Bombyx mori: one gene and its partner. The main gene of each other region encodes a partner of the protein of the gene in region 2 in a complex. Links are inferred from orthologs where the notes say so. Each region holds a gene or a part of one and is shown on either strand. Other genes may lie near its edges.

Region 1 (4,257 bases), on a different chromosome or scaffold from region 2:
TACTTATCTTATTTTAAACATTTTATGTCAAGTAAAAAGTTGTTTTAATAACAATCTTTTAGTTATATTTGAATATATAAATACATATCTGTGATTATTTTTATTTAGTTCTATCATATATACATACCTTTCTTTGATGGTCACATTGTTCATGAGTATACAATTTGTTAGTCTGACTTTGTTTTCTATATTACAATTTGAGCCAATAAATGAATTTTTTACTGATGTTTTTTCATTAATAATAGTTTTCTCTCCAACAGTGCAATTATCATCAATCTGTTTTGTTTTCACCTCACTGTTAGGGTGAAATCTTTCAAACAGAGATGATCCAGTAAGATCTTGCCATTTTGATAATATCTGTTAAAAATGCCATTAAAATCACTTTATTTATGATTTCGTGAGTTATTTGGGGAAAAAAATAATATCTGGTGGCCTACCTAATAACAATCTATATAAAACTGTAAACTACATGTATGCAAGTGTTAACTTCTTTTTTTTATGTAAATGAAAAAATAAGGTTTTTTGGAGTTTACTCCTTTAGAATCGATTTACATATATATGAAAATGGGTATGAAAATTATGGGGACCAAAATCGTACTAGCATGTCACACGAAATGCGTTATGCGCCTGCGCCGGCAGTCCGCCACAAAGCCTCGTACTGATCGCGCGTTTCTCTCATTATTGTATTTTCATATATTTGTTAGTCGTTTGTTTTGTGTCTCGTTAATTTGTTAATAATCTGTAGTGTATCGTGTTGTCGTAATATAGAACTATTTCTCGTATTGTTTCGTTTAATTTTTTATATCCAGTAAACTCCAGTCGTGCGTCGGAGCGGACACACACACTTTTTGTTAATTGACATTATTTTTTGAAGTTTCTTGATGGATTGGACCAATTGGAAATTGCTAAAAAAAATCTGCCGTTCAAAAAACTACAACAATATGAGTTATTTAAATGTCAAATACAAATTCCTAAATTAATGGTGCAACCCCATTGAATCTTTATAAGTAATCCAATATTAAACAAGTTTTGTTCTAACTTATTTGGAGATTATTTGTTTTGTAATATTAAAGAGCAAATAAAAACATACCTTATTGTTGGATAGATAAAATGATGATAGTGTATTAACACGAATTGCAAATGTATTTTTACTAGGAATATGTGCATAACATCTAAGAGTATCATTAAAGTACACCCCTTTGTTACCATGCTTATGATCATTGTATGCTGATATTTCTCTTATCTTACGCTCATAACCTGTCTCTATTGCATAGTCAAAAATTCCTTTATTAATTTCTGCATTCTTTTCCGAGGTGCCCTTCTTTTCCACTAAGTTGTTAGGTTTCGTTAATTGCTTTTTAACAATGTAAGGAACAACCTCACCTTTAATCGAGGTAAATTTTTCGGAATCTACAATATAGTCTAAAATCCAGTGTTTCATTACATATACATGTGCATCCAATAATCTACTATATATGCTCAAAGCATCATATTTTTTCACAAGTAATCTTGGTATTGTCACATTCTCTTCAAAATCACTAGCACTTGCCAGAAAAACAAGTCTCTCAGTCTCTTTATCTATACAAACTAAGTCTCGATCAGGTTTGGATTTAGTTTTCGGTCCCGGTAATTCAATCCACTCTTCAGGACCATTATTGAAGAACAAGGTGGTGACACATGCATCATGTTTCCTGTGTAGGTTCAGTACATCATTGAGGTTTATGTTAGTAATGAGGTCTCCTGATATGACTAGTAAATCTGTATTGATTCTAGCACTAACATGCTTTAAGGAATTTGCTGTACCCCAGTCTTCTTCTGATGGAATTACAATTAACTCATATTTTATTTTCAAGGGACATTTTTCTAGTGCATTAAGAATGTTAGACTTATCTTCATCAAGTACCACAATCATTACATCTGAAAATATTAGATTATTAGTTAGTTTTAAAGAATTAGAGAAAAATAAAATTGTAAATGAGGGATGTTGCAGTTTGTTTACTAATGAGAAAATATTTAGGTTGAGTTTATACTAGGTTTGTTGAAATAAAGTATCTATATATAATAAATATCTATGCACTATAAGATATCAGTTTCTGCTCATCTTTGTAGGAAGATCTTGGCTGTGCTTGTATTGTTAATATCCACAAGCAACTAAGATTGTCATCACGCCATCATACTCTCGGAAGAAGTGTGTATAAAGAACTACAGTGACAATAAAAAAAAACCTCATTAGATCATCTTTGTGATCTTCCGTTTACAAAAAATGGCTTTTTCATACAGTGAATAAACTTTTTATTTTAGATAATCTAATAATGTATATTATAGAATTTTATTATTTATAGTACTATACTGTTTGAAACAAAAAATTTAAATTATTTACAATAGAAAATTTTGCAATGAAATTTGAGTTAGGTACCTTGAAATCCAATTTTTTCTAGCATATTTAATGGATACCATAGTACTGGGTACGGCCCAACAGGTAGGAGACATTTCGAAACTGATCCTCCGACATCTGGCATACGGGAACCTTTTCCAGCGGCCAACACGACAACTTGGAATTCTAAGATTTTATGCATTTTCTACTGCAAGTAAAGATGATGTTTTTGAAAAGCAAACAAACTGTAAATAGACGTCTGTTTTTAGGGATATTTACATGGTCTTTTTAAGCGTTCATTAATACATTGTCCCATTCAAGCAAACAACCCTAAATTCTGATTTTCTGTTTAATAAAATTGAATTTTGTCTTAATTTAGAAACACATTTAGGTTATACCATAGATTATTTTTTTTGGTACAATTTTTCCTTATTAGGAAAAGCAAGGGGATCTACGCCTATACTGCTTGTCTATAATATATAATTTCTGAAATAAATTTTCAAAAAAGTCGAAGCCAGGTCTTATATGATATATTATATCCTGAAATAAAATTTTCATTAAGGCCGAAGCCAAGTCTTATATATTTTCCAATCCTTGTAAAATGGCAAATTCGAGTTTTACTGTTAAATCCAAGTCCAAGACTTTTTTTAAACTTAGCTAAAATAAAATAAAAAAAGTAAACAAAATATCATAATGTTATGGACAGAGCTATAACTTCGTCAAATCCTTGTAATCCCATTTTTAGATATCTCCAACTGTTGAATCTATAAATTCACAAATTGGCTTAAAACTTTGTTGTTTTCTTATTAATAGCTGAAAAGTACGCGGGATATCCTCAGCATTTTCATATATACACAGCAGACGGTAAATAAACACTAATCTATCCAGTGAGAAAGCAGAACAACTAAAGAAAATGTGATCAAGCTGCTGGACGTAACTTCTCGGGATCCTCCAAAAATCTACTGAAAAAATCGCAGTAAATGAGTACCATTTTACTGAGATTATATTTCATCCCATATCATCTCATCCCATTTCATTTAATTTCATCCCAGTTGATTAATGTCTCAAATTAATCATCTTCATTTCATTTCATTTCACTCAATAATATCATTTTTCATAAAAATATAAGAATATAAATTAAAATAGGACTTGACCTAAAAGTCAGTTACCAGGTCATAAAAGCCCTTAAAAAATCGCTCAGTTTGTTTTTAATTTCGAAAATTCTGTAAGGTAATGGGAATTTATCGCCCTTAATGTACAATACATTTCGGGAAAGGTTGAGAAACCATATCCTACGATTATTTTTATCCACCTGTTCATTTTTATATACTCAACGATTAGAACAATATTTTTACATCGGAAAAACACTGGGTTAGACACACAATACCAGTACAATTCCAAACCACCTCATGCTCACGCCAAAAAGCGTTCGTTATTATGATTATAGCATTTGCTATGAATTTACTGTAGATTATGGAATAAATGTCTTTATTGTATCTTTAACATAGCTATAATATCCTATAATTTTTTCAAAAAGAAAAAGCTTTTCCAAGCATCTGTTTCGTAAAGATCTGCCAGTTTAGGCATTGTTAAATAAGTCTTAATTTCAGAAGTCTTGATTTAAATTTAATCTTTTAACACGAGGGTATGTAGTGAAATCATGGTCCAGGTGACCGGCCGGCTTGTGGTCAAGGCGTTACGGTTTGTCCTCGGAAGCTGGATAAATATTCGCGACGGGTGAATTGTCATGAAGAGTCATGTTGGGCGGCGCTTGACTTTTACGAGTGAACCATCTTATAGACTAGACATAGATGTGTGATGTTTTTCGCATGGATCCGTCGCTGCCAAGCCGGGGGCCGGAATAGGAATAACGCTTGAATCCT
Region 2 (3,981 bases):
CAGCAGTGATAAAAGCTGTGAAGGCGCGAATTCAAAGAAATCCCAAACGTAAGCAGAAACTGGTGGCCCTTCAGATGGGGTTAAGCAGAACCACGGTGAAAAGGGTGTTAAATGAAGACTTAGGGCTTCGGGCATATCGAAGAAAAACAGGACATCGTTTGAATGCTCGTCTAATGGACCTGAGACTGAAGAGATGCCGCGCTTTGTTGAAGCGGTACGCGGGAAAAAAATATTTGGGAAATTCGTTTTCGGATGTAAAAATTTTTAGCGTAGAAGAGAGCTACAACAAACAAAATGATAAGGTATACGCACACAGTAGTGAAGAAGCGAGCAACCGTATTCCGCGTGTCCAGCGAGGTCATTTTCCATCCTCGCTCATGGTATGGTTGGGAGTTTCTTATTGGAGCTTAACAGAGGTACATTTTTGTGAGAAAGGTGTAAAAACGAATGCAGTTGTGTATCAAAATACAGTCCTGACGAACCTTGTGGAACCTGTTTCTCATACCATGTTCAATAACAGGCACTGGGTATTCCAACAAGATTCGGCGCCAGCTCATAGAGCGAAGAGCACACAAGACTGGCTGGCGGCGCGTGAAATCGACTTCATCCGGCACGAAGACTGGCCCTCCTCCAGTCCAGATTTGAATCCGTTAGATTACAAGATATGGCAACACTTGGAGGAAAAGGCGTGCTCAAAGCCTCATCCCAATTTGGAGGCACTCACAAGACATCCTTGATTAAGGTAGCCGCCGATATTGACATGGACCTCGTTCGTGCTGCGATAGACGACTGGCCGCGCAGATTGAAGGCCTGTATTCAAAATCACGGAGGTCATTTTGAATAAACTTTAGTGTCATAAGAATCTATGTTTTGTTAAGTTCATTTTGGTATATGAATGGTTACATAATGAATAAACTTGTTTCAATTATTTTACATTAAACATGTGACAGAATTTATGACCTGACTAGGTATAGTAGTATATTTTGATTTGCAATTTTTTTTTATCAATGTAACATGTAGTCTTATGTTTTTCGAGTTATTAAAGTGTAAATTTTAAAATTATAAATTGTATATAATAATAAAATAAAAAAATCGAATTCGAGTTTTTTCGATTTTTTGCATTGTCTGAGAAGATTTACTATAGTAAGATAGATTTTTTTCACCTTCGGAAAGTATGTAGCGATTTCGAACTTTTTGAAAATAGCTGATATTTTGACGGGTGAATTTTCGATTGAAAATTAGGGTGCTTTTTCGACATTAATTCAAAATAAGGTGAAAAGATTCATATTTGTAATGAAATAAATTACAGCGTATTTGGGACATGAAAAGGTAAGTTTTCACCAAATTTCGTGAAAAAAGATTTTTTTTTTAAAAAGATAAAAATAAAAAACCAAAAACTTGGTTTTTTGAATTTTTCACATAAATTTTGAGGATATGTGAAAAAAGTGTAAATACAAAAGTTTTAGATCTTTTTATTACCTACAACTTTGTGACTTTTTTCCATAAGACTTTTAGTTTTGCCGGAAATCGAGAAAAACCGTTTTTTATCCTACACGCTAGGGTAACGCTGATATAGCCTATCAGCATAGGTAGGAACAAAAAACTGTTTGCGTGTATCGACGCAAGTGTCTCCATTTCCTAACTGTATGGATTGTAAAACTGTGATACCTAGAAGGTAGTCTTGGAAGGTTGGCTATGTGAATTACTATAAGAATAGAAAAATATATTATGTGACGGTAGCAATCATGGATCACAAGATATTTGACAGATGCCTGAATCTCGCTAACGATGATGTCAAGATAACTTTGTAATTTAAACAAGCTCCAAACAACATAAACCAACATTAAAATAACCCTCGACCCTATACCGAGCAATTACACCCGTCACATTCTAAGAAAATAAGGGAGTTTGAGATATCGATAGTAGAATATTAGCTATGTCTCCGATACAGATCGGAGAGATAACTTTAATTATTAAGTGAATTAGTTATGAGGAAAACACAGTTTTAATAAAATTATTTAATTCTGTTCTCAGCGTAATAGTTCCCCGTGGCGAGTTGTAATTCTATACTGTCTGTACGATTGGACTGAATACACAGAACTAAAGGTCCTACAGAATGATTTTGGGGAACAAGTTCACAAGCGGGAACGATATTGCCCTAGCTTATTAATCATAATGCCTTTTCAATGCTACAAATTCTATTATAGCTAATGAATAAAGTAGATAGCGAACTTTTGTGAGCAGCATTTATGAAAATGCTCATTCTTGGGCTCAATGTAAAAAAGTTCAAAAATAAAGTGTCAGTAAGCTTTCGTTTTACACGGATACTATTTAATTCATCTCATATCACATTGATTCGTTTCCGATTAAATTCATTTTCTAGTACTTTCTAGATTACATGCATATATTGTTTAGTAAATGGAGATTTGTTTAAGCTGGAATAGCCATTTAAATTATCAGCGAATAGGTATGGAAAAAAAAGATATGTTTACAAGCTATAAATAATTTTAAAGAAAGCCGTGCATTCCAAGACAAATCCAATATCATATGTTCCAAAGTTAATCATCCATCCAAAATTTTTCATATCCATACGTACGCATTTTACGTATGCAATACGTACTTTATTACTCAGTAAGTACCTAATTATTATAATTGCCTATTAAAAATAATAAAATGATTTGTTTTATTATGTCTATATAATATTTCTTCAGGTTTAAATGTGTAATAACGTTGGTTTATTGACTGTTTAATATCTATGAAAGTGTACAAATGTGCAAAAATGAAACAAAGCCGCTGGACTTAACTTCTCGGGATCCTTCAAACAGTCCACTGAAAAAATCTCAGTAAATTACCACCATTTTACTGAGATTAATTCATCCCATATCATTTCATTTAATTTCATCCTAGTTGATTAATGTCTCAAATTAATCATTTTCTTTTCATTTCATAATATCATATTTCATAAAAAAAATATAATATAATAGATAAGGCTGTATGGTATGATACATTTGCCTTTCTATTTGAAAAAATAAAACTACTATTACTAACTTTCTATGTAGCAATAACCTATTTTCTATTTTCTAAAAAGTAGGAACTAGGAATTGATGAAAATGGAAATGGATAAAGAAAATATCGTACAAGCTGTTGTTATTATGGACACTTTTAACAGTAATTTTTCTCCATTAACAGACAATAAACCAATGGTATGTAACCTGTTTGAAATTTGTATATTTATCTGAAACCAAAATAATAACTGAATGGGACATATTACAGGGTTTTCTTGAAGTTGCAGGCGTGCCTCTAATAGATTATGTTCTAGAATCTCTTGCTTTGGGCGGAGTGGGAGAGGCAATTCTGTTTTGTTGTCAAAATGGACAAAAAATAAAAGAACATGTACAGTAAGTTTTTTTTAATAGTACTAGATAATTAAAAGAACTCATAATGTCAATGATGCCGCCCGTATTGAGTTATGAGGACGAAGTTCCAGTTATGTACAATTTAATCTCGTCACATAAAGATAGAAGCGAGAGTTTTGTGTACCATTATCCCATTTGGGCTTACAGTATGCTTTAACACAGGCAAATTTATACATCTTTGGTGGTTTCATTTTTTTACAAGATGTTATTCTGTCATTGTCGTAGTTATTCGTAAACATGTGTTTAGACATATTTCTATAGTAACATTGGTACTTGTCTGTCTGATTTGAACATTGGCAAAGTGAATCTTTTGGTAAGAGTACACAGGGTGTTTCATCCTGTGTATGACTACATTTTTGCTTAAAAATTAAGCATCATTATTACATACATTGACTGTCAATCCATTTTATGTAGTGTATATTCAATCTGGCAGTGGTGTTCCTGTATTATATGTAATAACATATATACTACATATTATGTTATATGTTACATATAATTCAGGATTGCAGATATGAAGCTAATATCTGAAGTGTTTTAAAAAAAAAGGGCTTGCTGAATGTGGAGT

What was found. Proteins that work in one complex are often made in the same cells at the same time.
Region 1: the proteins of translation initiation factor eIF-2B subunit epsilon (region 2) and eIF2B-gamma protein are in contact, whole or in part, in a cryo-EM structure (PDB 7VLK), measured with the Homo sapiens proteins. The link is inferred for Bombyx mori from reciprocal best matches to the Homo sapiens genes EIF2B5 and EIF2B3. Residues at the interface, in NP_003898.2 of Homo sapiens: Pro190, Val202, Arg222, Arg223, Phe224, Ala225, Phe226, Pro227, Leu228, Phe231, Gln232, Ser234, Ser235, Asp236, Gly237, Val238, Glu239, Val240, Arg241, Tyr242, Asp243; in NP_065098.1 of Homo sapiens: Arg155, Phe157, Glu178, Glu179, Leu180, Val181, Ile182, Lys183, Gly184, Leu187, Gln188, Pro191, Arg192, Ile193, Arg194, Phe195, His196, Thr197, Gly198.

Annotation. Positions count from the first base shown.
Region 1 is NC_085128.1:7,848,552-7,852,808, reverse strand, and holds the start of eIF2B-gamma protein, read right to left. Parts: upstream 2,801-4,257; 5' UTR 2,654-2,800; exon of another isoform or gene 2,583-2,653; 5' UTR 2,577-2,582; coding exon 2,417-2,576; intron 1,945-2,416; coding exon of another isoform or gene 1,918-1,944; coding exon 1,091-1,917; intron 358-1,090; coding exon 128-357; intron 1-127. UniProt on the Homo sapiens protein: Acts as a component of the translation initiation factor 2B (eIF2B) complex, which catalyzes the exchange of GDP for GTP on the eukaryotic initiation factor 2 (eIF2) complex gamma subunit.
Region 2 is NC_085119.1:8,981,062-8,985,042, reverse strand, and holds the start of translation initiation factor eIF-2B subunit epsilon, read left to right. Parts: upstream 1-1,181; 5' UTR 1,182-1,329; intron 1,330-2,034; 5' UTR 2,035-2,299; intron 2,300-3,011; exon of another isoform or gene 3,012-3,088; 5' UTR 3,089-3,104; coding exon 3,105-3,203; intron 3,204-3,273; coding exon 3,274-3,398; intron 3,399-3,981. UniProt on the Homo sapiens protein: Acts as a component of the translation initiation factor 2B (eIF2B) complex, which catalyzes the exchange of GDP for GTP on eukaryotic initiation factor 2 (eIF2) gamma subunit.